7 linked regions of the Macaca mulatta genome follow. The protein of the gene in region 1 purifies or fractionates together with the protein of each later gene. This does not show direct contact. Links are inferred from orthologs where the notes say so. Each region holds a gene or a part of one and is shown in the gene's direction. Other genes may lie near its edges.

Region 1 (4,155 bases):
GCTGTGGAAACTAATATGCTCTTTGAACGGTAAATCCAGAAAAGCTTGAGTGGCCTGGCGCGATGGCTCACGCCTGTAATCCCAGCACTTTGGGAGGCTGAGGTGGGCGGATCACGAGGTCAGGAGATCGAGACCATCGTGGCTAACACAGTGAAACCCCGTCTCTACTAAAAATACAGAAAAACCAGCCGGGCGCGGTGGCTCATGCCTGTTAATCCCAGCACTTTGGGAGGCCGAGGTGGGCGGATCACAAGGTCAGGAGATCGAGACCATCCTGGCTAACATGGTGAAACCCGTCTCTACTAAAAATACAAAAAATTAGCCGGGCGAGGTGGCGGGCGCCTGTAGTCCCAGCTACCAGGGAGGCTGAGGCAGGATAATGGTGTGAACCTGGGAGGCGGAGCTTGCAGTGAGCCGAGATTGTGCCACTGCACTCCAGCCTGGGTGACACAGTGAGACTCCGTCTCAAAAAGTCTCAAAAAAAAGAAAAGCATGAGTGAGATGAAATTAAAAGTTTTCTCATTTGCCCCCCGCCTTTTTTTTTTTTGAGACAGTCTCACTCTGTCACCCAGACTGGAGTGCAGTGGCGCAACCTCTGCCTCCCGAGTAGCTGGGATTACAGGTGTCCACCACCACCCCCGCCAATTTTGTATTTTTAGTAGACACGGGGTTTCACCATCTTGACAAGGCTGGTCTTGAACTCCTGACCTCGTGATCCACCTGCCTTGGCTTCCCAAAGTGTTGGGATTACAGGCGTGAGCCCTTTTTTTTTTTTTTGAGACGGAGTCTTGCTCTGTCGCCCAGGCTGGAGTGCAGTGGCCGGATCTCAGCTCACTGCAAGCTCCGCCTCCCAGGTTCACGCCATTCTCCTGCCTCAGCCTCCCTAGTAGCTGGGACTACAGGCGCCCGCCACCTCGCCCGGCTAGTGTTTTGTATTTTTTTTTAGTAGAGACGGGGTTTCACCAGGTTAGCCAGGATGGTCTTGATCTCCTGACCTTGTGATCCGCCCATCTCGGCCTCCCAAAGTGCTGGGATTACAGGCTTGAGCCACCGCGCCCGGCCCCTTTTCTTAAAATAGTTTCAGGGTTCTATGTTGGAAGAGCGAGTTTGTCAGTTTTTATTGGAATAAAGAAATGAATTGACAGCATTGTGATAAACACTGGAAGTGTTCACTTCTCAAATTTGTCCATGTCTGGACGTGGTGGCTCACGCCTATAATCCCAGCACTTTGGGAAGCCAAGGTGGGTAGGAGTTCGAGACTAGCCTGGCCAACATGGTGAAACATGGTCTCTACTGAAAATACAAAAAATTAGCTGGGCATGGTGGTGGGCGCCTGTAGTTCCAACTACTTGGGAGACCGAGGCAGGAAAATCGCTTGAATCCAGGAGGCAGAGATTACAGTGAGCTGAGATCGTGCCACTGCACTCCAGCCTGGGCAACAGAGCAAGACTCCATCTCAAAAAAAAAAAAAAAAAAAAAAGCTTGTGCTTAAGGGGTGGCTTCCCCCAGACCTGCAAAGCGGCCCAGAATTGGGGGCCTTGGTGTCAGCAACAGTGTTGATTTTGATAATGCAAGTCTGTACATTCAAACCAGGCTCCCAGAACTAGGTGGAAGATAGGAACATTTCTGCATAGGAGACTTGGAATGTTCTGGTAGCATTAAAACTGTCAGCCCTGAGGCCTGGCTATGTTCTGGGAGAGCCCTTTGTCTGGTAGGCATCATTTACCGATGGGTACCTTTCTTGTGTGCTGTGGCTTCAGCTAGGCTGTGTCTGAGAACTCAGATGGAGCACTGGAAAGTGCCGGTGGCTCCCGCCTGCCTTCGCGGTAAGGGATGGTGCAGAACATCTCCGGCTGTGCGGGCTGTTGTAGATTCTGGTGGGTGCTGCCGTGGGAGGAGGAGCACGTTGTTGCCCCCATCAGGATCTGCCTGACCTCTGTGCACCATTGTTGAACTTCTTACGCCCGCTTTTGACCAGGTAGTGTGGAGTGTTTCAGTGGCATTTGTCATCGAAGATGTTAGATTATTATATGCTTTTGGATTCCTCTGGAGGGTTAAGACAAAATTCTAATAAAGAATCGATAAGAGGTTATGTTGATTTTTATTTTCCTCAGTCTGTACTAAACTCAAACCAAGTTCTCATGCATTACTAGGTTGGAGAAACGTACGGTAAGGATATAACCTCCCGGGGCAAAGACAAGCCGATTGCCGTATGTAAAACTTTCAGTCCACTTCAGTTTCAAGCTTTCTCTGTTCTCTCATTTCACTTCGTTTTCTTAGGAATTTTTTTTATTAAGCCTCAAGCTCCTTGAGTGTTTTATATTTAATTCACTCAAGGTTGGGGTTTTGCTTGATGAAATAAACTTGATTAGAGTGTGATAGTTTACCCACCGGCTTGAATTAAAGCAGTTTGTGAACTGCCATCTTCCCCTCCGGAGTGAAAGGAGGGGGGAGAGTGAGAGGGCCCCTCTCCTGGCTGGTTGGAGATGCAGATACGGAGACTCCTCTTGGAATCCCACCTGGCTGTGAGCCGAGCCGGAGCAGGACTAACCTTGTTGCCGGGGCCTTCTTTCTCCGCTTCGGTGTCCCGTGTGGTGGGGCTGTCTGGGCGCGGCTGTGCGGTGCTGCTGAGCTAACCCCACCGTGCTGGAGATGGTGTGCTGGGTGCCGCGGTGACTCTTGGACGAGCTTGTGCATGCGCCAGCGTTCTTCAAACGCCAGTGATAAAAAGCTGTTGTGTGGGATGTTTCTTTCCCTTTCAGGTACAAGGCATCAGCTGGAGGGTTGAAAGTGTAGCTTGGGAATTGTGTGCATTTCATAAAGTAGCATAATTGCCTTTTTCTAGGAGAATATTTTAGAAATGTAGCATTTTAGAAGTTCTTGGGCATTTTTAAATACAGGTAAATATTTGAATTTGGTTTGACACAAAATACAGAATGGAGGAAGCATGCAGATGTCTGGCGTGTTCCCCGAAGCACCCTCCACTGTGTCCTCCGCACCGACCCTTCGCGCCTCTGCTTCAGCCACAGCTGCCCCGGGAGCGAGTTCTCCTGAGGCCCTGGCTGTGCTGACTCGAGGGCAGCGTGAGGGTGGTCGTCAGCTGTGAAGGTGCCACTTACACACTAAGTCCTCCTTCCTTGCGGAGGGAAGGGCTCAAGTAGCAAATATTGGAGCCCCCACTTGGTGCTGGGAGCTGTGACAGGCAGCTCCTGAAGAAGCAGTTTAATTGGAACCAGTGACCATCTAAAAATGTTTGTACTCTAAACCAGATTTTACAGAAATATTGGAATCATACCTTCATACTTGATTTTTTGTTTAGATAGATAGGCGGAAAGGAAGCCTCCTGGGGGGTCTGGTCTGATCCTCCTGATCCTTGAAGAGCTTCTGGCATCATTCTGCCTTCACGCTCCCCATTTTCATAAGTAACTGGTGGCTTGACATGCTGGGTTTGGTTTGGGAGCCCTCTGACAAACTGAAAGGGTGGATCAGGAAGCATCTGACCAAGCCACTGGTACCTAGTAGACACGCTCTGCGTCCGACAAGTCCTTCCCAGCAACATCCAGAAAGCAAAGTGCAGGCTTTGTTCGAAGGTCGTTGTCTAAATGTTTCCCTGTGTTTCCTTTTTGTAGGATGTGTTCTTAATTTGCTTTTCCCTTGTGAGTCCTGCATCATTTGAAAATGTCCGTGCAAAGGTAGGTGGGGATTTAAAGTATATGAGTTATAGAATGACACTCTCAGAAATAAATACTTTATAAAGTATAATAATAAATAAATTTTAAAAAAAAGAAATAAATACTTTAAAATATCACTTAGCCTAGGAATTTTCAGTTATTTAAATTGGTTATAGGAATTTGCTACTTAAGTACATGATTGGGTTTTTTATTCTTTTGAGACAGGGGTCTCACCCTGTTGTCCAGGCTGGAGTGTGGTGGTGACATCGGAGCTCACTGTAGCCTTGAGCTCCTGGGCTCAAACAGTTCTCCTGCAGTTCTCCTGCCTCCGTTCCTGTGTTGCTGGGACAGTAAACGTGCGCCGCTGTGCCTGGCTAATCTTTAAAAATTTTTTGTAGCGCTGGTTTTGTACACCCTGGCTGGTCTCAAACTCCTGGGCTGAAGTGATCCTTCCACTTCAGCCTCCCAAAGTGCTGGGATTATG
Region 2 (4,155 bases), on another chromosome or scaffold:
TCTAACTATTAGTCATTCACACCTTTGGGATAAACCTCTTGGGTGAAGGCAGGAGGAATCAGTGCCAGAAAAAATAAAAAGACAAAGAGGAAGGTAGAGAAGAACTGGGGGAGCATGGTGTCATGGAAATTCCACAAGGAGCATTTGAAAATGGCCAGTGTGCTGACTGCTGCTGAAGGTTCAGAGGGCAAGGAATGTGAGGACCAAGAGGAAGCCATTGGATTTTGCTAGAAGGCAGTTATTGATGACTTTGCAAGAGCAAGGAGGGTGCAGTTAGGGATGGATCAATGCAGAGAAAATGAAGGCAGCAAGTAATTTGGCAATAAAATGTCAAGAAATGGGATATTATGCATAAAGAGCCACATGGGGGCAAGCCAAGGTCTGTTAGGATAGGAGGTGTACATATGTTAAAGAAAAAGAGGAAAAGCTAGTAAAACAGAAGAGGATGCTGGGAGAAGAAGAGGAGATGTCTGTAGAGGAAAACTAAGTGAGACAAAGATGTGAGAGAATGTGGAGCACTTGTTAGAATAGTTAGCCTGGAAGGGTTGCTCTTCTCAAATGGAAGGAAGGAGATGGAGACAGGCATAAGGATAATTTCAGCTAAGATGACTGGGCATGGAAGCTAAATGTAATTTTTGCGTATACTAATTGCATATCTGTTGAAGGGGCTCACAGCAGCCCTCATGTGTCGAGGTTTCCTCAGTGCCATTAAAAAAGTGTATGGGAGGCCAAGGTGGGTGGATCACCTGAAGTCGGGAGTTTGAGACCACCCTGACCAACATGGAAAAACCCCATCTCTACTAAAATACAAAATTAGCCAGGAGTGATGGCACATACCTGTAATCCCAGCTACTTGGAAGGCTGAGGCAGGAGAATTGCTTGAACCCGGGAGGTGGAGGTTGCAGTGAGCCGAGATTGTGCCATTGCACTCCAACCTGGGCAAAAAGAGCGAAACTCCATCTCAAAAAAAAAAAAAAAAAAAAGTGTATCTACTTTTACATTTTACATAAATCCAATAATTATCTTGTTCTTAATGACTAAAGTTAATTTTATGAATATGACTTTAACACGTTAGAGCATACTAAATTTCTTATCACCTGAAAACCCCTTCATTTTGCCATTTTTTCAAAGTAAAACATATTTTCATTTTGTGAACCTGGAGACTTATTTTGTGCCCAGGTCTAGCACATCTCACTGGCTGCATAAACTGTGGTGACTCCTCAGGCTTTCATACATGGAAAGCAAGCATGGTTATTTGTATTTAATTGTTATGTATAGGAAGAAGAGTGATAAACTGTGGGTTTATATCCATGTCAAAGTAAAATTCAACTAGTTTTATGTTTTCAAGTTGGGTATCTTTTAAAAAAATTATTGTTAACGTTTCAGTTGTTTATATAAGGTCTATGTTATAAGGCAGTGATTCCAGAAATTTTCAACAGATAAAATGTCCAATTCTGTTCTTCATGTGTTATTGTTCATTCTCTCTCAGGAAAAAGAGGAGCGGTACCTTATGTTATTTTCAAATGTCCTGATAATGTTATCTGCAAGTCCTCGGATGAGTGGCTTTATCTATCAGGTTAGTAGATTTCACATAAAACACATAGCAGACCCGCTAATGAAAACAGGTTTCCATCCAGATGCAGTATCTCCACTATGGCATTAAAAGCTCAAGCCAGGAGAACCAGAATGTTCTGACCCTTCATTGTAATTAAAGAGCTTGTAAGAGCAGATGTTCCTTAGATCAAAGACCTTTGTATTAGTATAATGAGTTTATCTTGAATATATCCACCGCTTTAGTTATGCACTAGGTTTTGCATGCATAAATGGAAACTAGATAAATTAGCAGCAGTATTGTACAGGCCCATGTCATTATTGCTGAGAAAACATAAAGCTGGGACCTGCTCCTATGTTTGTCTTATTATAGTCACAGCACATGATTCAGGCTTCTAAAGAAGCATGTTATTCCTTAGGAAATTAAACGTCCCTCAGTCAACTCCCAAGATATAGAGCATTATAAGTTACTATTGCCTGTTACATCTTGGCCTGACAATTAGTAGTTTTTATAACATCTGAGCCTTCACTTTTTTTTACTGATTCTTATGAAAATATATTAGAAAAGGAAACTGCTTTGTAAATCCTGATCTTATAGTTTAGGGTGTGTTAGCCAAACACAATCCACATTTTCCCCTTGCTTTCTTAGTCTGATTAAAATTTAGAACAGGGAATCATATTATCTGCTCTTGACATAGTGGAAAAATACGTCTAGCCATAATTTTGCAGTGCTGAGAGGGTCAGCAAATCTAAGTGAAATAAACAGAGACCTGTATGACTGCAGAATTAATGAGAATGTTCTTTTTCTAATAGGGAAAAATACCAATAGCAGGAACGGTGGTGACTAGATTAGATGAAATTGAAGGGAATGACTGCACATTTGAAATCACTGGTAGGTAATTTTCTCTTTTTCATGTAACTACTTCCAATTCTTTTTGGAATGAAGGGGAATTTAATAAATAAATGCCATTATTTTCAGTTACATAGGCCACGAGCAAATTTTACGCAGGCATGGCAAAGTATATTCCATTTCCTGGGATAATTAGGGTACAGCAATAGCACAGAGAAGTCTCCTCTCATTCAAAAGCCATGGCTTTGCCATTAGTTTCAATCTTCTGTTGCATAAGAGCTACTTGTGAGAGCTAAGGAATAACAAAATGGACTGATGTAAATGCAATTTTCTTCCCTTCTGTCATTTGTTCCCTGGTGGCAGAGGAGCCAAAGATATGGACTTTTATCAGCAATTTTATCATCAGCCCATGAGTTAGTAAGACTTGGTTGTATTTCTAAAAAGTTCTGAAAAGACATCAAACTTTCTTCACAAATTGAGCATAATGCCAGGCTTCAGTAATTCTCCCTGACATTTTAGCTTATGATCCCTTTTGCCAGGCCTGTGTCATTTATATGTAGTGGCTTCACTGTTGGTGCTGATATGGCACAGTGGCTAAGACTGGGATCATGGCCTTACCCTCTTCTTTCCCAAGAAGGAGCCTAAGGTTTAGTATTTGCCAAAAGGTTGTAAATAGTCTTAATTGGATCTTGTTCCAACATTGATACTGGGGGAACCAGTACAATATTCCCACTTTAGACTTAACTAGATGGACTATGTACTTACGTTTTTGGATTGCAAGTTTGTATATAGTGAAGTTTTACACTACTTTTAAGCTTCTGTAAGCAGTAAAAATCAAGGACAGTTTTCTAAATCAGACATGAATATTTATTTACTTTATCATCACAGGTTATCTGTTTCTGCTGTAGAAATTTCAACAGGGTTATCCCATAGGTATGAAAACCCCTGAAAATACACACCCAAGTCCTAGTTGCATGAAGTGTATTTATGAATGGGAGAAGCTCAAGTTTTTCCTTGCCTTCTGTTTTCAAATTGATCATAATTGGGGGATGTAGGTAACGTGGTGGAGAGAATTGTGGTCCATTGCAACAACAACCAGGACTTCCAGGAATGGTTAGAGCAGCTGAACAGACTGATCAGAGGACCTGCTTCTTGCAGTTCATTATCCAAAACCTCATCGTCATCATGCAGTGCTCATTCCGTAAGTAGTCCATGTGTTCTGTCCAGAGATTATTGAGTCTTTCATCAACTCCTGCCTGCTGGAGACTTATTTAGAAGAAGCAACAAGCACACCCTCAGCCTTTTGGGCAGCCTATATTTGTAGATTTTGAAGTACAGTTAAACCTCACTCATTCTGATTTCTCATTATGAGGCCCATCCAAATTAATGAAAAGGTTTACTTAGAGGTGTGCAGTTCTGTTTGACAGTATTCAGGTACCCCAACTAACTGCCAGCAAAGTATTTCTAACCAGAAGTCCTGCTAAAATATTTTAATGATAAGCAAGGCTTATTTCAATCAGCAATGGTTACTCTCCTACTAACAATGGGCTAAGTAGAAACAAATAGTTTACCTCCCTAAGTACTTAAACATCTCCATGTCATCTCACTCATGCTCTCACATTTGCTCAGTAACCTTCTTCAAAGGTAAACTTTCAGCATTGTCTCTTTCTGAGTTATCACAAATTTACACTTTGGAATTTGAATTGATGAGATTTTACTGTACTTGCTGAGTGAGATGGAAGATATACTGTGTT
Region 3 (4,155 bases), on another chromosome or scaffold:
TTATCTAAGAGCAAATGAGGAGAAAATGGGACTCTTCAGTTCCTAATATCAAAAATAAATATTTTAAGCCCATAAAGTACTTTATAGTTCTCTCTTTTCTTTAAATTTAGTCAATACATTTGGTTTTCTACATTTATTTTTTGACACATAATAATTGTACATGTTCATAGGGTACAGTGTGATGTTTTGATACATATATACATTGTGCAATGAATGATGAAATCAAGGTAATTAGCATATCTATTACCTCAAACATTTATTTGTGGTGAGAACATTCAAAATCCTCTCTTCTAGCTATTTTGAGATATACAATACATTATTATCAACTATAGTCACCTCCTGTGCAATAGAGCACCAGAATTTATTCTTCCCGCCTGACTATAACTTTGTACCCATTGACCAACCTCTCCCCATCTTCTCTCCCCCTCTCCTGCCCTCCCCAGGCTCTGGTAACCACCATTCTACTCTCTACTCCTGTGAAATCACCTTTTTTAGATTCCACATATGAGTGAGATCATGCAGTATTCGTCCTTCTGTGTTTGGCTTATGTCACTTAACACGAACCTCTAGGTTCATCTATGTTGTCGAAAATGGCAGGATTTCATTCTTTTGTTTGTTTTTCTTTATTTTTGATTATTTTTGAGACAGGGTCTCACTCTGTTGCCCAGGCTGGAGTGCCCAGGGCAGGATGAGGATGCTGAAAGGGGGAACCCATAGAGTTCATAACCCTGCTCCCCAAACCTGGAGAACTGGATTAAGAGTTTACAATTGGCCGGGCGCGGTGGCTCAAGCCTGTAATCCCAGCACTTTGGGAGGCCGAGACGGGCGGATCACAAGGTCAGGAGATCGAGACCATCCTGGCTAACACGGTGAAACCCCGTCTCTACTAAAAACACAAAAAATTAGCCGGGCGAGGTGGCGGCGCCTGTGGTCCCAGCTACTCGGGAGGCTGAGGCCGGAGAATGGCGGGAACCCGGGAGGTGGAGCTTGCAGTGAGCTGAGATCTGGCCACTGCACTCCAGCCTGGGCAACAGAGCAAGACTCCGTCTCAAAAAAAAAAAAAAAAAAAAAAAAAAGAGTTTACAATTAGGAGTAAGAAAAGATTGTTCTAGGCTTAAGAAAGGAAAGTACACAATGAGCTGTAAACTTCTGTCTCTGGTACCCTAGGAGGGGAAATTGCTTTTAAACGAATTTAATTACATTTGTAGGTGGCACATCCATAATAAGAATAATAATGATAATGAAGTCTAGCACATTTGAATAGTACTCTACCATTATGCATTACTCTCGCAGACATAATTTCACTTGATCCTCAAAAAACCCTGTGAGAAGAGAGGGCAAGAATGATCATTCCCATTTTCTAGACCAGGGGACAGACTTACAAAGGAGAAGGAAATAGCCTAAGATAATATCTCTGGTTGGTGGTGGAGTCCAAACTGGAGCTTCTCCTCCTGGCTACTTGATCTCCTTGGGACCCTGCCTCTAGCCCAGACTAGGCCACTCACAGGTGCTCTGTGACAGCTGACAAGGTTGACTACCTCGGAGCCACCTAGGCTGTCCTAGGACAGGGTTTTGGCTGTGAGTGTCAAATACCCAAGCTTTAGGTTAACAGTGCCTCTGGGGGATGGGGGATGACTGTGGTGATCTGGAGTGCTCTGTAGGGGAGACCAGAGAGTCTCAAAGAAGAGGTTCTCAAGCCAGGTTGGAGGCTGTGTGAGACATTTAGTAGATAATAGGCCCCTGGTCCTGACTACTGACACAAGGCAGGAGGGATAGACAAGGCCCAGAGATGTTCAGAGGAAGGCAGCAGGGAGGTGGCTATGTATAGTGGAGGGACAGTGCTTGAGCTCCACTCTGGAGTGGCTGAGCCTGGGGGAGGAGAGACAGCCATGCACTCAAGCTCTTATATCTGGCAGAGAGAGATGGGCAGAGGCACAGGCACAGTGCACCTGTTTCTTTGTCCCCAGGTACGGGATGCGATATGTGGCCAAAGTCCTGAAGGCAACTCTGGCAGAGAAATTCCCTGACGCCACAGACAGCGAGGTCTATAAGGCAAGTGTTATCTTCCCACCCCCACCTTCCAATCCCTCCTTTGCTTTGCTGGTACCTGCGATCCTCAGACCGAAACAAAAACACAAAAAATCCTATGCCATAAAAATCCAAGGAGGGAAATATGCTGCCCCTTGTAAATGGAGCCTGGCTCACGCTGGGGCATGAGCGAACAGAGTGGGCAACACTGGCTTCTTGTCAGGAGATCTAGGTTCAAGTCCCAGCTCTTGCTCAGGTTTGCTGTGTGGCCTTGAGAAAGTTGCCTGCCTGCTCTGGGCCTGTTTTCTTTGAAGTGAGGGGGTTGGCCCAGGTATCCCTTCCAGCCAAGCAAGCTGGGAATGTGGGGCTGCACCAGTCAAGGTGGCCCCTGGACACTTCTGGGAGAGTCTTCTCTGCCCTCAGGTGGTCGGGAACCTCCTGTACTACCGCTTCCTGAACCCAGCTGTGGTGGCTCCTGACGCCTTCGACATTGTGGCCATGGCAGCTGGTGGCACCCTGGCTGCCCCCCAGCGCCATGCCCTGGGGGCTGTGGCTCAGCTCCTACAGCACGCTGCGGCTGGCAAGGCCTTCTCTGGGCAGAGCCAGCACCTGCGGGTCCTGAATGACTATCTGGAGGAAACACACCTCAAGTTCAGGTCTTGGGTCCCTTTCCTCTCTGTCCCCTTTCTTCCCTCTTCTCATCTTTGACATCCCGCTTCTCCCCTCCAGAATCCATGAGGACAAGAGGCATAAATAGAAGGGAAGAGCGTAATGAGTGGGGTGGAGGATAGGTTGTTGGAAGGACTCCTCAGTGGAGAGAAAAGGAGACTATTAAGAGAGATTGGCTTGAGGGGTCACTGGGACGGAGGTAGGACAGGACAGAGGGCAGAAGCTGAGACTGGAGAGTCCAAATTGGCCTGAGCAATCGCTGGAGAAGGCTGGGGAAAGGATGGGGACAGAAGATGTGTGGGGTGCTGGCCCTCCCCGCTCTCTCACACGCCCTCCCTTTGGATAGGAAGTTCATCCATAGAGCCTGCCAGGTGCCAGAGCCAGAGGAGCGTTTTGCAGTGGACGAGTACTCAGACATGGTGGCTGTGGCCAAACCTGTGGTGTACATTACCGTGGGGGAGCTGGTCAACACGCACAGGGTGAGGGGCTGAGATCTGGAGAGTGTTGACTGGGTGGGCAGGGGTTTGGTAGCCTGTGATGGGGTAGTGGGCTGGCCCCAGGGAGAAGACCTGGCTCAGACCCTGCATTTCCTTTTCTTCCTCTGTCCTGCAGCTGTTGCTGGAGCACCAGGACTGCATTGCCTCTGATCACCAAGACCCCCTGCATGAGCTCTTGGAGGACCTTGGGGAGCTGCCCACCATCCCTGACCTTATTGGTGTGTGCCCTCCTTGGCAGCCGGGGCCAGCTAAGGGGCCTGCCGGGAGGGAGGGACAGGCAGGCAGACAGGCCATGTGAGCGCGCCCATGCAGTCTAGGTCTTGTGCCAGGCGGCTAGTTCCATACTCTCCCTCTAGTCCTGACATGGGCACAGGGACACAGATTGAAGTGGAGAAGGTAGACAGACGGTAGAGGGACCCGTGATCATCAGGTAAATGGCCAATTAAATGATGTGAGAGAGGCACGGGGATAAGGGTCTCATTAGGTTTCTCTGAGAAGGAGGCATTTCTGGGCCACGGAATAGGAGGAAGCCAACTTACTGGGAGGAAGGATAGAATGAAGATGGTGATTAGAGAGAGCCAGGAGCTGCAGGCTGGGGGAGGCATGGCTCCTCTACCCTCAGGGCACCCAGGGCTGAGGGTGTGGGGGTGGCACAGCCCCAGTAACACGAGGGCATGCTCTGTGGGTAACAGCCCTTCCATCGGTGCTAAGGGTTGGGGACACGGTGGTTCTGCAGGCCAGTGTGGGAAAACTTCTTGGAAGAGGGGCATGTAGAGCAGCCGATTTAACATGACCCGATCGGTGCGTGTGTGTGTGCGTGCGTGTGTGCGTGTGTATGCCTGTCTCCCTCTCATTCCTCACCACACCTCAGGGGAGAGCATTGCTGCAGATGGGCACACGGACCTGAGCAAGCTAGAAGTGTCCCTGACACTGACCAACAAGTTTGAAGGACTGGAGGCAG
Region 4 (4,155 bases), on another chromosome or scaffold:
TAGATGGGAGAAGCAAAGAGTAGGTGGTGCTTCTTGCTCTGGGCAGTCTGCATCTTCAGCGGATTTCAGCGCAGTTTTGCAAATGATCCTTCCCTTCCTGGTTCAGTTGACTCCCCACTATGGGACACACAACCTGGAAATCAACAGTGAGCACATCAGTGGGGAGTAAGATTGTTGCAATGGCCGTCCAGTGAGCACATCAATGGGGAGCAAGATTGTTGCAGTGGCCTTCCAGTGAGCACATCAATGGGGAGCAAGATTGTTGCAATGGCTGTCTTTTTTTTTTTTTTTTTTTTTTTTTTGAGACAGGATCTGACTCTGTGACTCAGGCTCTGCGATGGCACAATCTCGGTTCACTGCAATTTCTGCCTCCCAGGCTCAAGCCATCCTACCACCTCAGCCTCCTGATTAGGTGGGGCTATAGGTGCACACCCCCATGGCTGGCTAACTTTTGTATGTTTTGTAGAGACAGGATCTCGTCATGTTGGTCAGGCTGGTCTCGAACTCCTGAGCTCAAATGATCCACCCGCCTCAGCCTCCCCAAGTGCTGGGATTACAGGCATGAGCCACCGCATCCGGCCCTGCAATGGCCTTCTTAATGAGAACAGTGGCTTTCTTCCAAGTGTCCCATGCAGAAATACATGTAAGAGAAACTAGAGCTAGGATGAAAATATGACTGGCTGGCTAAATTTTCTTCTCTTGAAATCATGCTCCCCTTGAAAAAGCCAATTTCTTCTCCAGGCAGTCAAGGAAGTCAGGTTTGGAAGTTGCTGTGAGGACTCAGAGCTCCAAAGAGCAGGTTATATTTTGAAAATGTAAGATCCTAGTAACAGCCCTGCCTTCCATGTGAGTTATGCTATATGGTTTTTCAGGCCGGCCCATGCCTTCATCCGTTCAACCGCCTCTCCTGACTCCTCTTCACAGCAGGAGCTTCTAGGGATGAGACTCCAGTCTTAGAATTGGATCAGTTTCTTCCACCTCCTGATAAGACTTCTAGGACCAGAAACAGGATGGACATGCCAATCTTGTGTTGGAGTGACAAATCACAATCGTGTGTGGATGTGCGTGCACACTAACCTTTTGGTACATGCCTTAGAAACTAGCCTAAGATTCATTTACTCCATGGCGTAACCACGAATGTGTTTTTACAGCAACTGTGGGGTAGGCAGAAGGGTGGTGGTGTCTTCATACCCTTTTATAAGTGAAACAGCTGCCAGAGGTTGTGAGGACATCAAGAGTCACCCACAAGTGGCAGAGCTAGAATGCAGGTCTTCTGTCTCCAGCTCAGTTGCCAGCTGGAAACCTCAGGGCATCTCCAAGCACCTGTGAGCTGGCCCTGGCTTGCTTCTGACCGAGCCATGCAAAGTGCTTTCACCTGGAAACAACCGTCTATCTGTAATCATAGAGCCTTGGTCAGGATTAAGGTAGCAGATGTTTCTTTGCATTGATGTCCATTTTTCCCCATTAAAAAATACACAGAATATTTCTATATAAATCTCTAAAAGACAAGGGTTCCCCTTTTGAAATATACCCTAAATACCATCCTCCCATCGTAAATGAACAATTCCTTAATGTCATCATCAAATATCCGGTCAGACTTCACATTTGCCCTATCGTGCTAAGTGTTCTATCTTTTTCACAGTTGTCCGTGTTGGGATTGAAACACAGTCCTTGCATCTGGTGACTGTGTATCTGAAGTCGCCCTTGGCCTCCCTTTTAAATCATTGCTTTCCTTGTAAATGTCTTCGATGGATTGTGAGTGACTTTACACGTGTCTGTGGGGTGGAAAGCAATTGCTCTCCTATTAAGACATCATTGACCTTTCCTTTAGGTTTGCTCTGGAGCCTCTCCTGCCAAAGAAAATGCACTCCAGGTCCCAGGACAAGCTGGACAAGGATGACCTGGAGAAGGAGAAGAAGGACAAGAAGAAGGAAAAAAGGAACAGCAAACATCAAGAGATATTTGAGAAAGAATTTAAACCCACCGACATTTCCGTGCAGCAGTCGGAGGCTGTGATCCTTTCGGAAACGGTAACCTGACAGGGTATCTTCCCTCGCTCTGTGGTAGCTTCAGGGACCTACCTTTGCCCCACCTGTAGCCAACAGGGCTGACAGTGGGCTCTGACTGCACTTGTTATAAATTAGCAACTCAAAAACCTGGGGTCCTCCTTCCCTAACCTGGAATGTCCCAAGGCAATAGGACAGCCGAGCCGCAGAGCTGGGCTTAGCATTCGTGCAGCTTCCGCAGGGCCTGGGGCAGGGCCGCTCTGCTGCTAGGCTCTGCCGCGCTGGCTCTGTTGGACTTGTTTCCTACACATGTCCTAACATCCCAGAAGATGAGCAGGAGTCCTTTTGTTGTCAGGAAACAGTCCTGCGTGTCAGATACTGCCTTCTCCTCGCCCCTTGTTGACTGGAACTCTAAGCTAGTTATAGCCCAAGTGTGAAAATCAGCGGAACTAGAATCCAAAGACCTCTTCCCACCAGGCCCCAGCAGCTGCACCTGCTCCTGGGGTACCTGCTCTGTCTCATCTGCTCCACCTTTCCGTCTCCTGGCCGTCTTTCACAAGGACTTACAGGGACTTCACGTGGCCCGTGTTGCTGAACTGACCTTAAAAACAGGTCCTAGTGAGTCTCGTTCGTTCCACAGTTGTGAGCGTGTGAGGGTGGTGAAACCGAGGAGCCGGCTCTCATCCTGGGGCTGGGCCTGAGAGCTGATCCTCCCAGAAGTACACCACATTGGGAGTCTGTGTTCATCTGTTTTGTGTTACTGTCAAGGAATAACTGAGCCTGCATCATTTATGAAGAAAAGAGGTTGATCTGGCTCATGGTTCTGCAGACTGTATGAGCATGGCACTAGCATCTGCTTGGCTTCTGGTGAGGCCTCAGGAGGCTTTTATTCTTGGCTGAAGGCAGGGGAGGGGAGCAGACATGTCACATGGTGAGAAAGAGAGTATGGGCAGGGGGTCGTGTTCCAGGCTTTTTTAAATAACTAGGTCTCACGTGAACTGATAGAATGAGAACCCACTCATTACCCCTATTACTGCAAGGACAGCACCAAGCCCTTCATGAGAGGTCAGCTCCCATGACCCAGACACCTCCCACTGGCCGCACCCCCAACATTTCAACATGAGATTTGGAGGAGACAAGCTGTATCAGAGTGTGAGTGCAAAGATGAGGCACAGCCCACTTCCATAGCGAACTTGATTCTGAAAGTGCTAGCTGTAGTTGGAAACAAAAATAAAGAAGGGGTTCTCGTGGGCTGTCAGTTTCAAAGGCGAAGTCAGGATTGGAGCTGCCCTCCCGGGAAATGGATGGGTGTTTGCTTGTCTCAGTCCTGGGCAGCCAGCGGGCTATGATTAGAGGGTTAGACGTACTGCACTGCTTGTTTATAACTTAAAACCCAGAAAGTTGGTTTTATCTATACTTCATGCCACTCAGAAAGCAGTCACATGCTACCTGGCTATCTAGAGGTGGAAGGCAAACCCCCCAGCCATGACTTGACGTCCAGCAGGCCAGCGCTGCTCTGTGGCCTGTGGCTGCAGTGGGGCTGGAGAATTCCCGTGAGGGTGGCCGAGATGTCAGGCCTCGGGGGGCACTGGCTGGAGGCTGGCCCGAAGCACCCAGACGCTCAGCCTCCAGCAGATTGAGGGGGTCCTGACCACACAGCGTGCTCTGTCTGCTATTCTCGGAAGTTGGGATGCCCACCACCCCAGAGGTTGGCTGAAGTCTCCTTCTCTCAAGCCCCAGGTAGATTTCTCAAGTCTCAAAACATCGTAGCTGGGTAGTGGAATGAACAGAAGCATTTTTGAATATTACTTAGTGCCAGACACTATGCAAGTCTTTCATACATTTTAATTTAAGCTCCGTTTTAAGATGCTAAATTGGAGGCCTCAGAGAAGTTGTGCCAAGTGGCAGGATTGATCACAGCTGACTTGTGTGAAAAGTCCAAAGACACAAGCACACACGTGACAGGCACAGAGCCAGCACAGTGCATTTTCTGTCCCTGCCTGTGGTGGCCCAAGCATCCTTCTAGGATCCTTGCAAACAGCAGGGCTAGGGGCAGCACCACAAGGGCTGCTTCCCCACGGTTGTCCGTAGCACCCTCAGCAAATCCGCAGGAACTCAGCAGGGTCAGAGCACAGAACATTGGTGGCAC
Region 5 (4,894 bases), on another chromosome or scaffold:
CCTCAAAAAAAAAAAAAAGAAAAAAAGAAAAGAAAATGCTAGAAAGTCAGCTGATGCCATAACCACTCATACTTGGCAAAATGCCAAAAGTGGGAAAAGGAAAGAAAAAAAAATTACAAGGGCCATATCTTTGAAACCAATGTCTGCAAGAGTGATAGAAGCCACACAATGGCATCCATAATGTGGCCCTTTCCCAGTCTCATAACCACTTAAAAATGTATTCCTTCTTCCTCTCCGTCTCTTCACAACACCTATTGGTCCTCACTTCATTGATGTAAAAATGGGTAAAATATCAGCGACCTCATGCCTTGGGAAGATTAAAGGAAAGTTATTTAACAAACACTTATACAGCACTTACGCTGTGCCAGGCCTATTCTAATTTACAAACTTTGTGGTTTTTTTTTTTTTTTTTTTTTTTTTTTTTTGAGATGGAGTCTCACTCTGTCACCCAGGCTGGAGTGCAGTGGCGGAATCTCGGCTCACTGCAACCTCCCGGGTTTAAGTGATTCTCCTACCTCAGCCTCCCAAGTAGCTGAGGTGACAGGCGCCTGCCACCTCGCCCGGCTATTTTTTTGGTTTTTTTGTATTTTTAGTAGTGACAGGGTTTCACCATGTTGGCCAGGCTGGTCTCGAACTCCTGACCTCAGGTGACCAGCCTGCCTCACCTCCCAAAGTGCTGGGACTACAGGCGTGAGCCACCAAGCCCGGCCCTATTTTACCAATAATAACACTTCGAATCCTCCTAAGAGCCCTATGAGGCAGGTACCATTATCATTATTTTACAGATGAGGAACTGAGGCCCAGGAGAGACAACTAAACCTGCTGAGGGCCACTAACCAGCACCTGGTAGAACCAGGATTCAAATATGAGCAGGCTCGTCTGAACCCCATGCACTTGAGCACCCTCTGAGATAATTTAACCCCTTCATCGGTAGCAGATCTATGGTGGCCTCCAGAAATGGTTGCTAACTTACTATCATCGTTATTTCTGTCGTACAATTCATTTCTACCTTTCCAATAAACTTTCCCGAACCAGTGAACCTTACTTACTGCCCATAAAGTTCACCTGTGCCTCACCACCCTGCCCTCGCCCGAGTTTTCTGCTCTGACCGAATCCTCACACGCCAGTGCAGCCCCAGCCTCCAACACCAGGTGCACCGCCAGTGTATTTACTGATCCAGTGAATGAAGGTGGGCCCGGCCGGGCTGGTTCCCATCCTCTGATCAACGCCTAGGGGAACCAGTAAACTCCAATGCTGACCATAAGTGTCTCAGAAAGTAGGTCTGGAAAGCCCAGCCCTCCGCTCAGGAACCTATGAAGACCGGGGAGGATAGCGCATATGCGGCCGCAGGATGGAAACCTCGATCAGAAGGCTGGGGCAGGTGACTGGGCTTAATTGCAAATTTTAACATTTACTTCAGCAACCAGTTCATTAAAAACAAACTACTCTGAGGCCTCTTTTTTTCCCACCAAACCCAAGAGGAAGCGAAAAAGAGCGCAGCCGCTCTCCCTGGGGCCGTAAGTGCTTCCAGCTATCTGACCTCCACGCTGCCTGCTGCAGCCTCAACCTTTCCCCTGGTTCGGAGTTCTTTCAGCAGTAGGTCCAGGAAAACACCTGCCCCGCTCCCCACCGCCCCCCCCCCCACCGCCTCCCGAGACTAGGAGCCCGCCAGGGCTAAGTAGGAGGGATACCCTAGGGACCCTGCAGGGTTTTAGGGTTGGGGTGGATTGGAAATTGTTCATTGCCTTTCAGTTCCGGGACATGGAAGGACACTGAGTCACCAAACGCCGCCATGGGCCGGAAGCCACCGCCCTAGCCTCAGCTGCAATCTAGAGCGCGGCGTATCCCGTGAGCCCACTGGGGACTACGACTCCCGGCATGCTCCGCGGCCGTCGGAATTAACCCTTCAGGGCTGGGGGGCCGCGCTGTGCACCGCCCCCTCCCCAGCCACAGACGCGGACCCCGCAGGGTGAGTTTTGGGGGGCTGAGGAGAGCCGCTTTCTTTAAGGTTTAGTGGGGTGTGTGAGAGTGTGTGTGTGTGTGTGTGTGTGTGTGTCTGTGTGTGATGTATTTTGTAAAAATGGGACAGTTTGCAGTAATGAGATTCAGACACTGTTTTGCGAATGGGAGACCCAGCATCAACCCCGGGGCCTAAGTGGAGTCACTGCTATCTTCCTCAGAATGCTACCTAAATCCTTTCCTAATTTCCCCCAGAACAAAAGTAGGCCGCAACCCCTCCCCACTCCCAAACACCCCCCAACTTGGACTCTCTCCCAGTGCCCCCGGCAAGGTTTGTGACCTGGCCCCTGAGTCGGGATTTTTATTATACCCCTGGTAGTGGGATGAATACTCATGGAGGCCATAGGAGTGCCCACATCCTCTTGGATTAGGGAATTTAAGCCTTCTCCCAGAGCCCGCCCTTCTCGGGTGCCACCACAGGGTCCCCACAGGTTCAGCAAGCGCCCTACCTTTTGTTTGTGTTGAATGACAGTGGTCTTGTGGAAGAAGGTTCCTTCCATGGAAGAATGGGTAGCAGATGTTAAACCTGATCTTTGCCCCCACTCCTTCCCCTAAAACAACACTGCGCACTAGGAGACAATGAGGGATGTCACACTCCTGTTTCTATGACTATTCTTCCTTTATACTGTGAATAGTTTCAATTCTTGGCTGGGTGCGGGCTCAGGAACTACAAGTATTAGGGATTATTAGACTGTAGGGTTAACTACCCCTGCTCTTTACAAAGCCATGGTCAGAAAGGAGTGGAGGGGCTGGGCAGATGGGCTGCTTGTTTTTGTCATTGCTCCCAGACCACACTTTAACTTGTTCCAGTTCACACAAGCCTCCCTGACTGCTACCCCTCACCCCACCCTTCGAGAAGACTAAAGCTGCTGGATCACCTGCTTTGCCTCACCACCCCCATCTCAGTGCAAGCATCCTATCCTCACCCTGGAGGTTAACTACCTCTCATTCTGGGCAGTCCCTGGCTTCCTCCCCTACCCTCAAAGGAAACATTGTTCTTTTCTGGACAGCCTTTGGGGATGAGGGGACAGAGGGAAGAAGACCTTGGGGCAGGAGTCCTGAACCATAGGAGGCCAGGGGAGTGAGGGCAGACGGTTATATCTCTCCTCTACCTCATCCTCGCCACAGCCAACTGGCTCCCTGCCCCTGCCCCCGCCCCTTGACATCCCAGACTCCCTGGCTATTTAAACAGAGATGGGTGCCCCCATCCGCACACTGTCCTTTGGCCACCGGACATCATGCCTCCCAAGAAGGATGTTCCCGTGAAGAAACCAGCAGGGCCCTCCATCTCCAAACCTGCTGCTAAGCCAGCAGCAGCAGCAGGGGCTCCTCCAGCCAAGAGCAAAGCTGAGCCAGCTGTCCCCCAGGCCCCTCAGAAAACCCAGGAGCCTCCAATCGATCTCTCCAAAGTGGTGGTGAGTCTCTGGAAAGTGAAGATAATTGGAGGGGGTGGTTTGAGGGTGAGATACAGCTTAGGGGATTAGGGGGTATCTAGAAGGTAGGGAATCAATGAACCCTGGAATGAGATTGGGGCTTTCCCTTAGTCCCCCATTTGGAAGCATCCAGGCTTATGACTCTGCTGTTGTCTTTGCTGTTCTCTCCCTCTAACCTATAACCATGTGTGTACAGCACATGCACACTCACTTACCCCCTGCTGGAGGCAGGGACTCTTAGATGGGGAACATCTGGGTTCTGAGGACAGTTTCAAGGTGAAGGGAAAAGAGCTGTTGCCTGCCCCTGGCTGGTGATTCAACTCAAAAGGCCTGCAGCTCTGAACTCCAGGAAGGGAGGCTGAAGAGGACAGACTTGTTAGACAATCACAGCTGGGGGCCAGGGGTAAATTTAGCCTTTGTTCAGCCCCCAGTTATGTGAGGGATGCAGGGCTCAGGGCAATGGAGGGAGGGAAACAGGTGGCATGGGATTAACCCTGTTCCCAGGAAACCCTCCCCACTGTAATTCCTCTTCTTGGGATTCTCCCAAGGCCCAGAGCTGGGAATGGGACTGAGGTGGCTGGGCTTCCAGCCTGGTCCCTTTGGGCCCCTCCTCAGAAGTGGCTGCCAGTTGGTTGGGAAGAGTGCTGGAGAGGGACTGAATAAACTGTCATCTCTCCCCACCTGCTTTTTTCTTCCACAGATCGAGTTTAACAAGGACCAGCTGGAGGGTGAGGAGAAGCTGGTCTAAGCCCACTGTCCAGTCCCCAATCCCCTGGTCAGATTCTCTTTCTATTCCCCTAACCCCAGTCCCGACCTTGAAACCTCCCATACTAGTCCTCTTTTCCTCCCTTGTTCTGTTCACATAGTTTCTGAAATTCCCTTCTGTCTGGGGGTGATGGGAACCCCTAGTCAGTGTCTACACTGACCCTTCCTTATACCTTAGAGTTCAAGGAGGCCTTCGAGCTGTTTGACCGAGTAGGGGATGGCAAGATCCTGTACAGCCAGTGTGGGGACGTGATGAGGGCCCTGGGCCAGAACCCCACCAACGCCGAGGTGCTCAAGGTCCTGGGGAACCCCAAGAGTGATGGTGAGGGGACCCTTGGAACAATTTGGGTTTTTAGTTTTCAAAAGTTGAATGTTGGTAACAAAGAATGAGGTGGATCTCAGGACTTCAAAAACTGTCAAACACAGAAGCAGGAAAATATCCTAAATGCTGAACAGGATGAAAGCATTGTGGTAGGGTTGGGAGCCGGGTCCTATGTGATACTACAGTGACCTCTCCTTCATCTCTCTCCAACCTCCAGAGCTGAAGTCCCGGCGTGTGGACTTTGAAACTTTCCTGCCCATGCTCCAGGCAGTGGCCAAGAACCGGGACCAAGGCACATATGAGGACTACTTGGAGGGGCTTCGTGTGTTTGACAAGGAGGGGGACGGCAAAGTCA
Region 6 (3,824 bases), on another chromosome or scaffold:
CTTCCTTTTCGTTCCCAAAATGAATCAAAATATAATTGGCCAGTAAAGCAGTGTTCCATTTTCCTTCTCAAGGTACTTAGATTTACTTCCAGTCTTACAGAATCTGCATTGTCAGAATATTGGCAACTATTCCAGTCTTCGGGCTCCCTAGAAGTCAAAGTGTGCTTTCTTGGCCTTTTGTCTTTGTCGCTTTATGGATTCCTCATAGTTGAATTCTGGAAAATACTCAGCCATTATCTTTTGAAATATTTTAGCCTCCCTTCCATTCTCCCTGTTCTTGCCATTCACGACTTCAGTTAGACATATGTTAGACCTTCTCATTCTATTCTCCACATCCCTCTGTTGTATTAGTTTTTTTTGTGTGTTTTTTGTTTTTGTTTTTGTTTTTGAGACAGAGTTTCACTCTTGTTGCCCAGGCTAGAGTGCAATGGCAGGATCTCGGCTCACTGCAACCTCCACCTCCTGGGTTCAAGCAATTCTCCTGCCTCAACCTCCTGAGTAGCTGGGATTACAGGTGCCCACCACCATGCCCGGCTAATTTTTGTATTTTTAGTAGAGACAGGGTTTCACCATGTTGGCCAAGCTGATCTCAAACTCCTGACATGAAGTGATCCACCCACCTCCCAAAGTGCTGGGATTACAGGTGTGAGCCACTGCGCCCAGCCCTGTTGTATTAGTTTTCTGTTGCTTCCATAAAAACAAATCACCACAGGCTTGGCAGTTTAAACACCACTGATTATCTCACAGTTCTCTAAGTCAGATGCCTGGGTTCAGCCAGGCCCAGCTGGGTCCTCTGCTCAATCTCATGAAGCCAGTGTCCGAGGTGCTGTGTTCAGCCTGGAGGCCTTCAGGCTTATGCACAGTTGGCTGAATTATTCCTTGGCAGCTCTAGGACTGGGTCCCCCTTCCTTCTCATGCTTTCCAAGTGACCCCCTCCGGCAATGGTGGGTTGGGCAGTCTCAGCCTCTCGTCTTCTGCCAGGTCTCTCCTGCCTCCAGCCAGAGAACATTCCCTGATCATGATTATATTGAGCCCACTGGACAACCCCAGAGACTCTCCCTGTCCTGTCCTACAGTCCACAGTCTTAGCCACACCTGCCCAGGCCACGTGGGTGGAGGCAATGCAGTCACAGGCTCCAGGTCATGGGCCTCTCTCAGGGGCCATTCTACCTCCAACTCCTACATTTCCGTGGCTCCCAGAGCTGTATCCAGAGTATTCTCTTCACGTGTCTTAGTTAACTCGTTTACTTCAGCTCTAATGTGCTGAGCTTTTACTCTGAAAAAATTATTAGTTCACTTTTTAAAGTTCAGTTAGGTTCTTCTTCAAATCTTCTTGGTAACTGAGTTTGTCTTAACTGAATTTTTTCCATCTCTTATTTCTTTATCCAGTTCATATATTCTATATTCTGCATGTTTTCCTTCTAGTATCTGAAGGTCTTGGAGGTATTTAAAACTTTGCTGTTTCCTTGTGTGTTGGGTTATTTGGGAGTCTTTATTTAATTGGACTTAATTTAGATTGCTTTCCCTCCAAGATGTGCATTTGCATCTGCCCATCTCTAGGGGCTGCTGGCAACTGAGGGCCACTTTAGCCGAATTGGAGGTTCCTGGCTTTTTTGGGGTCTCTGGTGTGGTCCCACTTGCTTATGCCTGGGCCGCTCCTCACCCCACTGCTGCTGTTGGCATGTGCCCCCGAGGAGGCCCTGGCTTCCCCCTTACCACCTGCATAGGCAGAACCAGAAATGCTTTTCAAAGTTTTTTGTTTGTGTGTACGTACGTTCTTTATTCCTGTTGTAGTAGGAGGGTCTGTCAGAGTACCCCATCACAGTATTATTTCCAGACTGGAAGTCTAAAGCCTGTGTTAGTTGATTGACCTTTCTCCACTGACCACATCATCTTCATCTGGACATCCCCAGTTTTGAGCACACAGTAGGTTCTTAATTGCTGATGTGGAAGGAACAGGACTATCAGTTGTGCACATGAATGAATCTACAGCAGCAAGAAGCCAACAGAGGGATTCTAAATTCAAAATATATTCATCCATCCAACCATTGCATTAAAGAGATGGTATGTGACTGGGAGAGCTGGCTCATACCTGTAATCCCAACAGTTTGGGAGGCTGAGGCAGAGGAGGATTGCTTGAGCTCAGGAGTTCAAGACCATCCTGGACAACATAGTAAGACCTTGTCCTTACAAAAATAATTTTAAAAATTAGCTGTGTGTGGTGGTCCACGCCTGTGGTCCCAGCTGCTCAGGAGGCTGAGGTGGGAGGATCTCCTGAGGCTACAGTAAGCCATGATCATGCCACTGCACTCCAGCCAGGACGTCACAGTGAGACCCTATCTTAAAAAAAAACAAAAAGAACACTATGTGTGTCAATTCCATTTGCTACTATTTTTCTGAGAAAATATAAGAATCCTGACATTTTGAAACACGAAGAATGAATGTTCAAGTGTTAATAGTAAAACATCTCAATTTTCATGGTTGTAGCCTTTGAAGAAGATGGTGGAGAGAATTCGCAAGTTCCAGATTCTCAATGACGAGATCATCACCATCCTGGATAAGTACCTGAAGTCGGGCGACGGGGAGGGCACACCAGTGGAGCATGTGCGCTGCTTCCAGCCGCCCATCCACCAGTCCCTCGCCAGCAGCTGAGGGCATGCGCTGCACTCTGTAACTCAACGTGGCATGCCTTTCTCTCCGGCAACTATTGAGTGAGATTTTTAGGGACTATTTTTCAGTATCTCTCTACCTGTTAAAGGGGGTGCTTTTCAATCTAAAAGCTTAATTTTATAAAATTATTTTTCTAGACTAAATTGTATATGCTTTTGGTAATTAGGAACTCTGAGAATACTGGCTGCTGATTGTTGCCATCACGTTCTTACAAAATTGTTTTTCTATGGGATGTTCTGGCAGCTCTCTCTCAAAATGCTGCTGTGTTCGTTCATTCACTCATTCCATAAGAAACTTAATACCAGCAAATGTATTAAATCCCTTGCCAGTTACCATTAACTGTAACTATTTAGCTTTTGTTTAGGGATCTTTCTGATGGCCTTTTATGAGCAGTCTTAGTTCTAAGTCATTGTTCCCATCCCTTTTTTGTGTCAGTGTTTCAGAAAATAGTGAACTTGATTCCTCTGCTTCCACTAAATCCGGTTGTGACAAAATCTAACGTGAGATCAGATCGAAAGGTTATAGAAATAAAACTAATGAGATCTATTTGCGTTTGTTTACTTACTATAATCCTGTGCTGCCTGACTTGGCAAGGAACTCTGATTACCCTGAACTCACATAGCAGGCCAGCTCGGATGTAGGTCACCTCCAGGGCAGAGGTGGGATGGGACCGTGACACCATCTCATACACCACTCACCTCACCAGCACAGGTTTAGTTTTATATTTAGGGTTCTGCAGATAAATAAGGTGTAAAATGGCCGTGGTGGCTGCTCCAGTCTGGATATGAAGAGGCTACTCAGTGCCTCTCTGTTACCTGTGCCTGTGACCTGGCGGAGGCCAGCAGTGTGGGAGGAGGAGATCAGCCAGGCCCAGTGAGTGCTGCACGAAGGGGCCAGGAGCCTTGAGTCCAGCCTTCAGCTGCCCCTGATCCACAGGGTTCGCATGGCTGGAGCTGGTCCACACAATCTGTCAGAATGAAAAACAATCGGTCTAGACTACCAGTAGAGCCATGAACATGTTTGAGAAACTGAAGCCATATTTTAAAGTATTAAGGCAATGAGGTTCTGAAAATCCTAACTGAATGGAGAAAAATGTTATGCCTGTTTATTGTAAATGAATATTACAGATAATCACAAGTCCAGCATGATGAACTG
Region 7 (4,668 bases), on another chromosome or scaffold:
ACCCCCTTCCCACTGGGGCCACCAAAGCCCATGGATTCTTTGGTGAGAGAGCAGCTCGGGGCGGCAGGTAGTACTCCTCCCTACATAGCAGCTAGGTATCGTTGCTTGCAAAAGCCCCACCAGCTGAGCGGCTGGCTGTCTGGGGAGGGGAGGCCTGAAAGATTTTTTTAAGGTGCAATTATAAATAAAGCCCATGGATCGCGATTTCAAACAAACTTGTCAATCCGGGCCGCAGCAAAAGGCGATGGAGGCAGCTTTGCATGTATTTCGGGTGGTGTGACTCATGAGAATTACTTGTCTCCCCTAGGGAAGGAGCCTGCCCACCCACAAGTCACTGCCGCTCTGGCACCGCTGGGATAAATCGACCAACTTGAGCACCCCTGCCAAAGGACTGCCCCCATCTGTTACCGAGCAGGAGTCTCTGACTTCGATAACCCCTCCTCAATTGTCACCACTGACCTGGCCCCCAGGTCTGGCCCTGGGGACCTCTGCCCTCTCCCCACAAGCAGAGTGCCCGGGCCTTTTGCTGCTGCAGGGATTGGGGGTTGGGTGCACGCGCGGCACACGTGTATGGGGGAGCATGCTCAGTGCGGGGGCTGTGCTCATGTGAGGCCTCCAACTAGGCTCCCTGCCCCCCAGCCCACCCACGTCCCTCACCTGCCTTGCCTTTGCCTGCCTCTTCGTGTGAAGTCCAGGAAGAAAGGCTGTCACCTGAAACGGCCCCTCTGTGTTATATGCACCCTTTCTGGACGCACACACCTCTGGTGGCCCAGAAACACCGTGTGTATAAGGCGGATGACAAGTGGATTTGAGTGCACACAGGCACAGTGGTCACTCCTTGGGAGGTCTTTAAAAACCGCCCAGATTCCTCTCTGGATGGAAGCATGCATGGAGAGATAGATATATTTTTAGTCCAGAGGCAGGGGAATACACTGCCTGACCTTTCTAGCACCTGGGCGTCCATATTGTTGGCAATGAGCGTATTCAGCAAGAGTGTGACACACGCACACACACCTGGACACACAGATGTGGACACCTACAGGACCGGGAGGCACACCTCACCCCAACCAGAGATAGAAGGGTACCCCAAGGCACAGCCCCTTTGACCTGGAGCGGGACTTGGGCCTCCAAGTCCTTCCTGCCTAATCCCCGCCCTCGCCATCCCTGGGCCCAGCGTCCCCCGGGCCACCCCACGCGGAAAGTGAAGGGGAGGGGGCTGTGAGGGTGACTCACATTGCCTCCGGGCCAGGCGAGCGCCGCAGCGGAGGCCAGGACCGCAGGCCCCGCTGCCCGCCGGGGCCGGGCATTAGCCGCGGCCCCTTTAAGCGCCCCCGCCCCCTCCCGCCCGCGCCCGGGCTTCCTTTCTCCAGGGGGCGCGGCCGGGAGCGCGCGGCGGGGCGGGGGTGCGGCCCCTCCCCTGGTGGGCAGGGCCTGCGCCGCTTCCTGCAGGAGCGGCCCGGAGCCGCGCAGGGGGCGGAGAGAGGAGTCGCGAGCGGCGGCGGGGCGGCGTGGGGCGGAGGGCGCCCGAGGGCGAGCGGGCAGGCGGGCACGGCGGGTTCCGGGCCAGCCCCGGGGCGGACGGTTGGCCGGGCGCGCGGAGCCTCGCCGGGGCCTCGCCGGAGCCGGGCCGGGCAGCAGGGGCCGCCGCCGCCGCCCGGGCCCGCCGCCCGCGCCCCCCACGCTGGCCCAGAGGGCTGCGGCCGCGTCGCCGCTGAGGATGTCCCGAAAGGGGCCGCGAGCGGAGGTGTGTGCGGACTGCAGCGCCCCGGGTAAGCGCGGCGGGGCCGGGGGCGGGACCGCACAGCCAGGCCGCCGCCGGGCGGGCGCCGGGGCCTGGCGAGAGCGCCGTGCGGGGCCGGAGGGCTGGGCTGGGCTGGGCTGGGCGGGGCGGGGGGCTGCGGCCTCCGGGCTCGGCCCCCGCCCCGGCCACTGCGGAGCCGCGTCCTTGGCGGGAGGGCTGTCCTGGGGGGCCCATGCTCCCTGGAGGCGGTGGACGAGCGAGGAAGGACGTTCCCGGCGCTGCCTCCCGCCCCTCGGTCTGAGGGAGGCGGGCAGCTGGCTGCCCCTCCACCTCCATCTCTATCCGACGGAAGCGCCAGCCTGGGGTGGCAGGAGGGCAGTGGCGGAGGCCGGCAGGGCTTGGGAGGTGGGGGCGAGTGTGGTTTTGTGTCATCTCAGTGCCACCCCCGCGTCTTGCACCTGCTGCTCGCGTGGTCGGCACGCCTGCCGGGGTGGTGGAGGGCAAGGAGCAGAGGGCCGGGCAGATGCGCCAGCGGGGCCTGGATACCGTCTCCTCAGGAGCAGATGAGCAGTGGCTACTCCCAGGACTCCCTGCCGCGGGTTCCTAAGGCTAGCGCTTTTTTGCGGGGCCTGGCGTTCAGGGCCAGTTCAGACCCGGGTGTCTTATCGGGAGGCATCACCAGGCCTGCTGGTGGTGACTGGGAACAGCTCGGCTGGACCCTGCTGTTCCTATTCACCGTAAGGCCCGCTTGGGAAAGTGAGCTTGGCATCAAGCTATCCTGGGCCCCGGCCCCTCCCTGTCCCCTAGCCCAGTCTGGCGAGAAATGGGTGGGAGGCAATGCCTAGATTCCCCGCATCCTGCTGGCTTCCTAGCCTGCCTCCTGGCTGTATTTACATGGTGGTTCTCTTCTTTTTCCTAACAGAGTCAGGACTGGGCTGGAGTGAAACCCCCCAGGCCTGCTGAGGAAGTCAGGGGTAATGATCCAAGAGTCTGCTCCCTTCTGATGGGGGAGGACAGCCAGTGACTGGGCTCTGCAGCTGGCCTGGGAAGGAAGCTCTAGCCCCCATCCATTCTTTCTTTAGAAAAGGAGCTATCTCCCTAGTAGGCCCCTGGGCAGGCTTCGGAGGTCTGTGAACTCTAGCGGGGCTGTGGGCATTATTAAGAGTGAGATTATGGGGTGCTGGTTTGTGGGTCCATAACTTTCAGCCACCCCTTGAGCAAGCCCAGGACCCCACAGGTTGAGCCTCACAGATGCTCTGGTGGTTCTGGGGGTGGTGCCAAGCTAGACGGTTTGGGAACTGTGACCCAGCAGGGCTTGGGCACAAGATACTCTCCTCCTTGGGGCTTTTGGTTTAGAGGGCCCTGGGGTTGAGGGTCCATACCCCTAAGAAACTATGACTCCCTTCCCCCAGCTGCAGGCAGGTCTGGGGATGGCAGGGCTGAGGACACACCTTGCCTTATAAATGTCTGCCCACTGTTCCGCACCTCCATGGGGTGAGCATGGCATGCATGTGGAGGAGAGGCTTAGCAGGCACCCTATCGGGGAAGCCTGGGGCATAGTGTTGCCTTTGTTCCCAGCTTACTCTGTAACCCCAAAAAGACTTTCCTCACTGTGGGGGCCTCAGTTTCCTCAATTAGGAGGCAAAGAAATTGGAGTAGAAATGGTTTCTGGGGGGGCTGTGATCTGATTCTGGGGTGGAGGGGTGAAGGGCAGCACCAGCAAGGCAGCAAGGCAGTTGTCCTTTCTCTGTTGCATTGAATGTCATCCAAAGCCTCTGGATGCCCAGTGGGCTCAGGGAGGAATGGTGGGCATCAGATGTGTTGGATTGCCCAGCTCCTACTCCTAGGTCCTCATCCGTCAGAGGAATTTGTGCCCCAGATGACTCTTTTCCCCTGATACACAATAGAGGTCAGGAAGATGGTGAGAAGGTGAGGATGGTGGGGTGGGGAGGATATGGACAGTCTTACACATCAGCCCACCTAGCACCCAGCGAAGTGTCCAGCACATGGCAGGCGCTCCCTGAGTGTCTGGCTTCTTGTCGGGACCCTGGCTGGCTGCTTGGGACTATCCCACACCTGGACCCTAGGATGCTGGCCCTGGCATGCAGCGACGTGTTTGGTCTGGGTCCTGTGGCATCTCAGGCAGAGAGGCATGAGGGTACCCAGCAGTCTGGAGTCCAGATCCAGTGCCAGCCCCATGGTGTATCGCTCCACCCCAGGGTCACAGCTTTCTTTTATTGTGATAGGAGCCCTGCAGTCCCAGCCACAGGAGTGGGGCCAGGGACTTTTTGTGCTTGGTTAATTTGAGGAGTCATGGAGGTCAGAGGTGAGATGCAGCCTGCCCCCAGAGAGCCCCATCCTCCCTCTGCTCCCGGGCCTGGGCACCCGGGACAAGTGCGAGTGTGTTGGTAGGCAACTGGACATGGCGTGGCTGCTCTGGCAGCTTGTGCCACCTCGTCAGGCACCGTGTGCATTCCTGCCTGCCTGGGGCGTCCAAGAGAGGAAGGGGGCAGGGAGCCCTGGAGAATGTGCATTTTCCCCTTTCCTTTGCCTTGGCCCACCTTGCCACATGGTCTCAGTCAAGGGCCTCTCCTCACCCCATGGGCTTCTATCTCAGCCTTTTCCACTTTGGCAGCCCTGGGGGTGAGAGTGAAGGCCTCAAGATGCCTGTCCTTTAGATATCTCTGGTGAGCAAGGCTGGGGACATGTTACAGGACAAGCTGCAAGCTGATTTGTCTCTTCATAGTGTAGATTGCAGAGTGGTACAAATGTTGGGCTCCTCTTCCTGCCTTATTGAGGTAGAACTTGTATGTGTCTGTGCCCGCACCTGAGTGTTCACACTGATGGGCTTTTACATGTGTGTATACCTGTGTAACTACTACTCCGATCATGTTATAGAATAGGGGTATCCAATCTTTTTGCTTCCC

The links.
Region 2: the proteins of RAC1 (region 1) and ARHGEF6 purify together in Homo sapiens (affinity purification with mass spectrometry; 3 studies listed by BioGRID, with this or other methods). This does not show direct contact. The link is inferred for Macaca mulatta from reciprocal best matches to the Homo sapiens genes RAC1 and ARHGEF6.
Region 3: the proteins of RAC1 (region 1) and IQGAP3 purify together in Homo sapiens (affinity purification with mass spectrometry; 3 studies listed by BioGRID and IntAct, with this or other methods). This does not show direct contact. The link is inferred for Macaca mulatta from reciprocal best matches to the Homo sapiens genes RAC1 and IQGAP3.
Region 4: the proteins of RAC1 (region 1) and DOCK1 purify together in Homo sapiens (pull-down; 6 studies listed by BioGRID and IntAct, with this or other methods). This does not show direct contact. The link is inferred for Macaca mulatta from reciprocal best matches to the Homo sapiens genes RAC1 and DOCK1.
Region 5: the proteins of RAC1 (region 1) and MYL6B purify together in Homo sapiens (affinity purification with mass spectrometry; 3 studies listed by BioGRID and IntAct, with this or other methods). This does not show direct contact. The link is inferred for Macaca mulatta from reciprocal best matches to the Homo sapiens genes RAC1 and MYL6B.
Region 6: the proteins of RAC1 (region 1) and CYFIP1 purify together in Homo sapiens (pull-down; 3 studies listed by BioGRID and IntAct, with this or other methods). This does not show direct contact. The link is inferred for Macaca mulatta from reciprocal best matches to the Homo sapiens genes RAC1 and CYFIP1.
Region 7: the proteins of RAC1 (region 1) and GIT1 purify together in Homo sapiens (affinity purification with mass spectrometry; 3 studies listed by BioGRID). This does not show direct contact. The link is inferred for Macaca mulatta from reciprocal best matches to the Homo sapiens genes RAC1 and GIT1.

What each region holds. Positions count from the first base shown.
Region 1 is NC_133408.1:44,612,095-44,616,249, reverse strand, and holds part of RAC1 (ras-related C3 botulinum toxin substrate 1), read left to right. Parts: intron 1-2,153; coding exon 2,154-2,210; intron 2,211-3,629; coding exon 3,630-3,692; intron 3,693-4,155. UniProt on the Homo sapiens protein: Plasma membrane-associated small GTPase which cycles between active GTP-bound and inactive GDP-bound states.
Region 2 is NC_133426.1:143,016,286-143,020,440, reverse strand, and holds part of ARHGEF6 (rho guanine nucleotide exchange factor 6), read left to right. Parts: intron 1-1,489; coding exon 1,490-1,576; intron 1,577-2,364; coding exon 2,365-2,443; intron 2,444-3,456; coding exon 3,457-3,602; intron 3,603-4,155. UniProt on the Homo sapiens protein: Acts as a RAC1 guanine nucleotide exchange factor (GEF).
Region 3 is NC_133406.1:110,388,405-110,392,559, forward strand, and holds part of IQGAP3 (ras GTPase-activating-like protein IQGAP3), read left to right. Parts: intron 1-1,967; coding exon 1,968-2,052; intron 2,053-2,451; coding exon 2,452-2,684; intron 2,685-3,043; coding exon 3,044-3,176; intron 3,177-3,309; coding exon 3,310-3,412; intron 3,413-4,065; coding exon 4,066-4,155.
Region 4 is NC_133414.1:139,490,189-139,494,343, forward strand, and holds part of DOCK1 (dedicator of cytokinesis protein 1), read left to right. Parts: intron 1-1,831; coding exon 1,832-2,030; intron 2,031-4,155. UniProt on the Homo sapiens protein: Involved in cytoskeletal rearrangements required for phagocytosis of apoptotic cells and cell motility. Along with DOCK1, mediates CRK/CRKL regulation of epithelial and endothelial cell spreading and migration on type IV collagen.
Region 5 is NC_133416.1:63,303,386-63,308,279, forward strand, and holds the start of MYL6B (myosin light chain 6B), read left to right. Parts: upstream 1-1,924; 5' UTR 1,925-1,969; intron 1,970-3,190; 5' UTR 3,191-3,257; coding exon 3,258-3,434; intron 3,435-4,152; coding exon 4,153-4,180; intron 4,181-4,395; coding exon 4,396-4,539; intron 4,540-4,756; coding exon 4,757-4,894. UniProt on the Homo sapiens protein: Regulatory light chain of myosin. Does not bind calcium.
Region 6 is NC_133412.1:1,499,672-1,503,495, forward strand, and holds the end of CYFIP1 (cytoplasmic FMR1-interacting protein 1), read left to right. Parts: intron 1-2,486; coding exon 2,487-2,651; 3' UTR 2,652-3,215; downstream 3,216-3,824. UniProt on the Homo sapiens protein: Component of the CYFIP1-EIF4E-FMR1 complex which binds to the mRNA cap and mediates translational repression. In the CYFIP1-EIF4E-FMR1 complex this subunit is an adapter between EIF4E and FMR1.
Region 7 is NC_133421.1:38,328,183-38,332,850, reverse strand, and holds the start of GIT1 (ARF GTPase-activating protein GIT1), read left to right. Parts: upstream 1-1,438; 5' UTR 1,439-1,485; exon of another isoform or gene 1,486-1,638; 5' UTR 1,639-1,717; coding exon 1,718-1,769; intron 1,770-4,668. UniProt on the Homo sapiens protein: GTPase-activating protein for ADP ribosylation factor family members, including ARF1.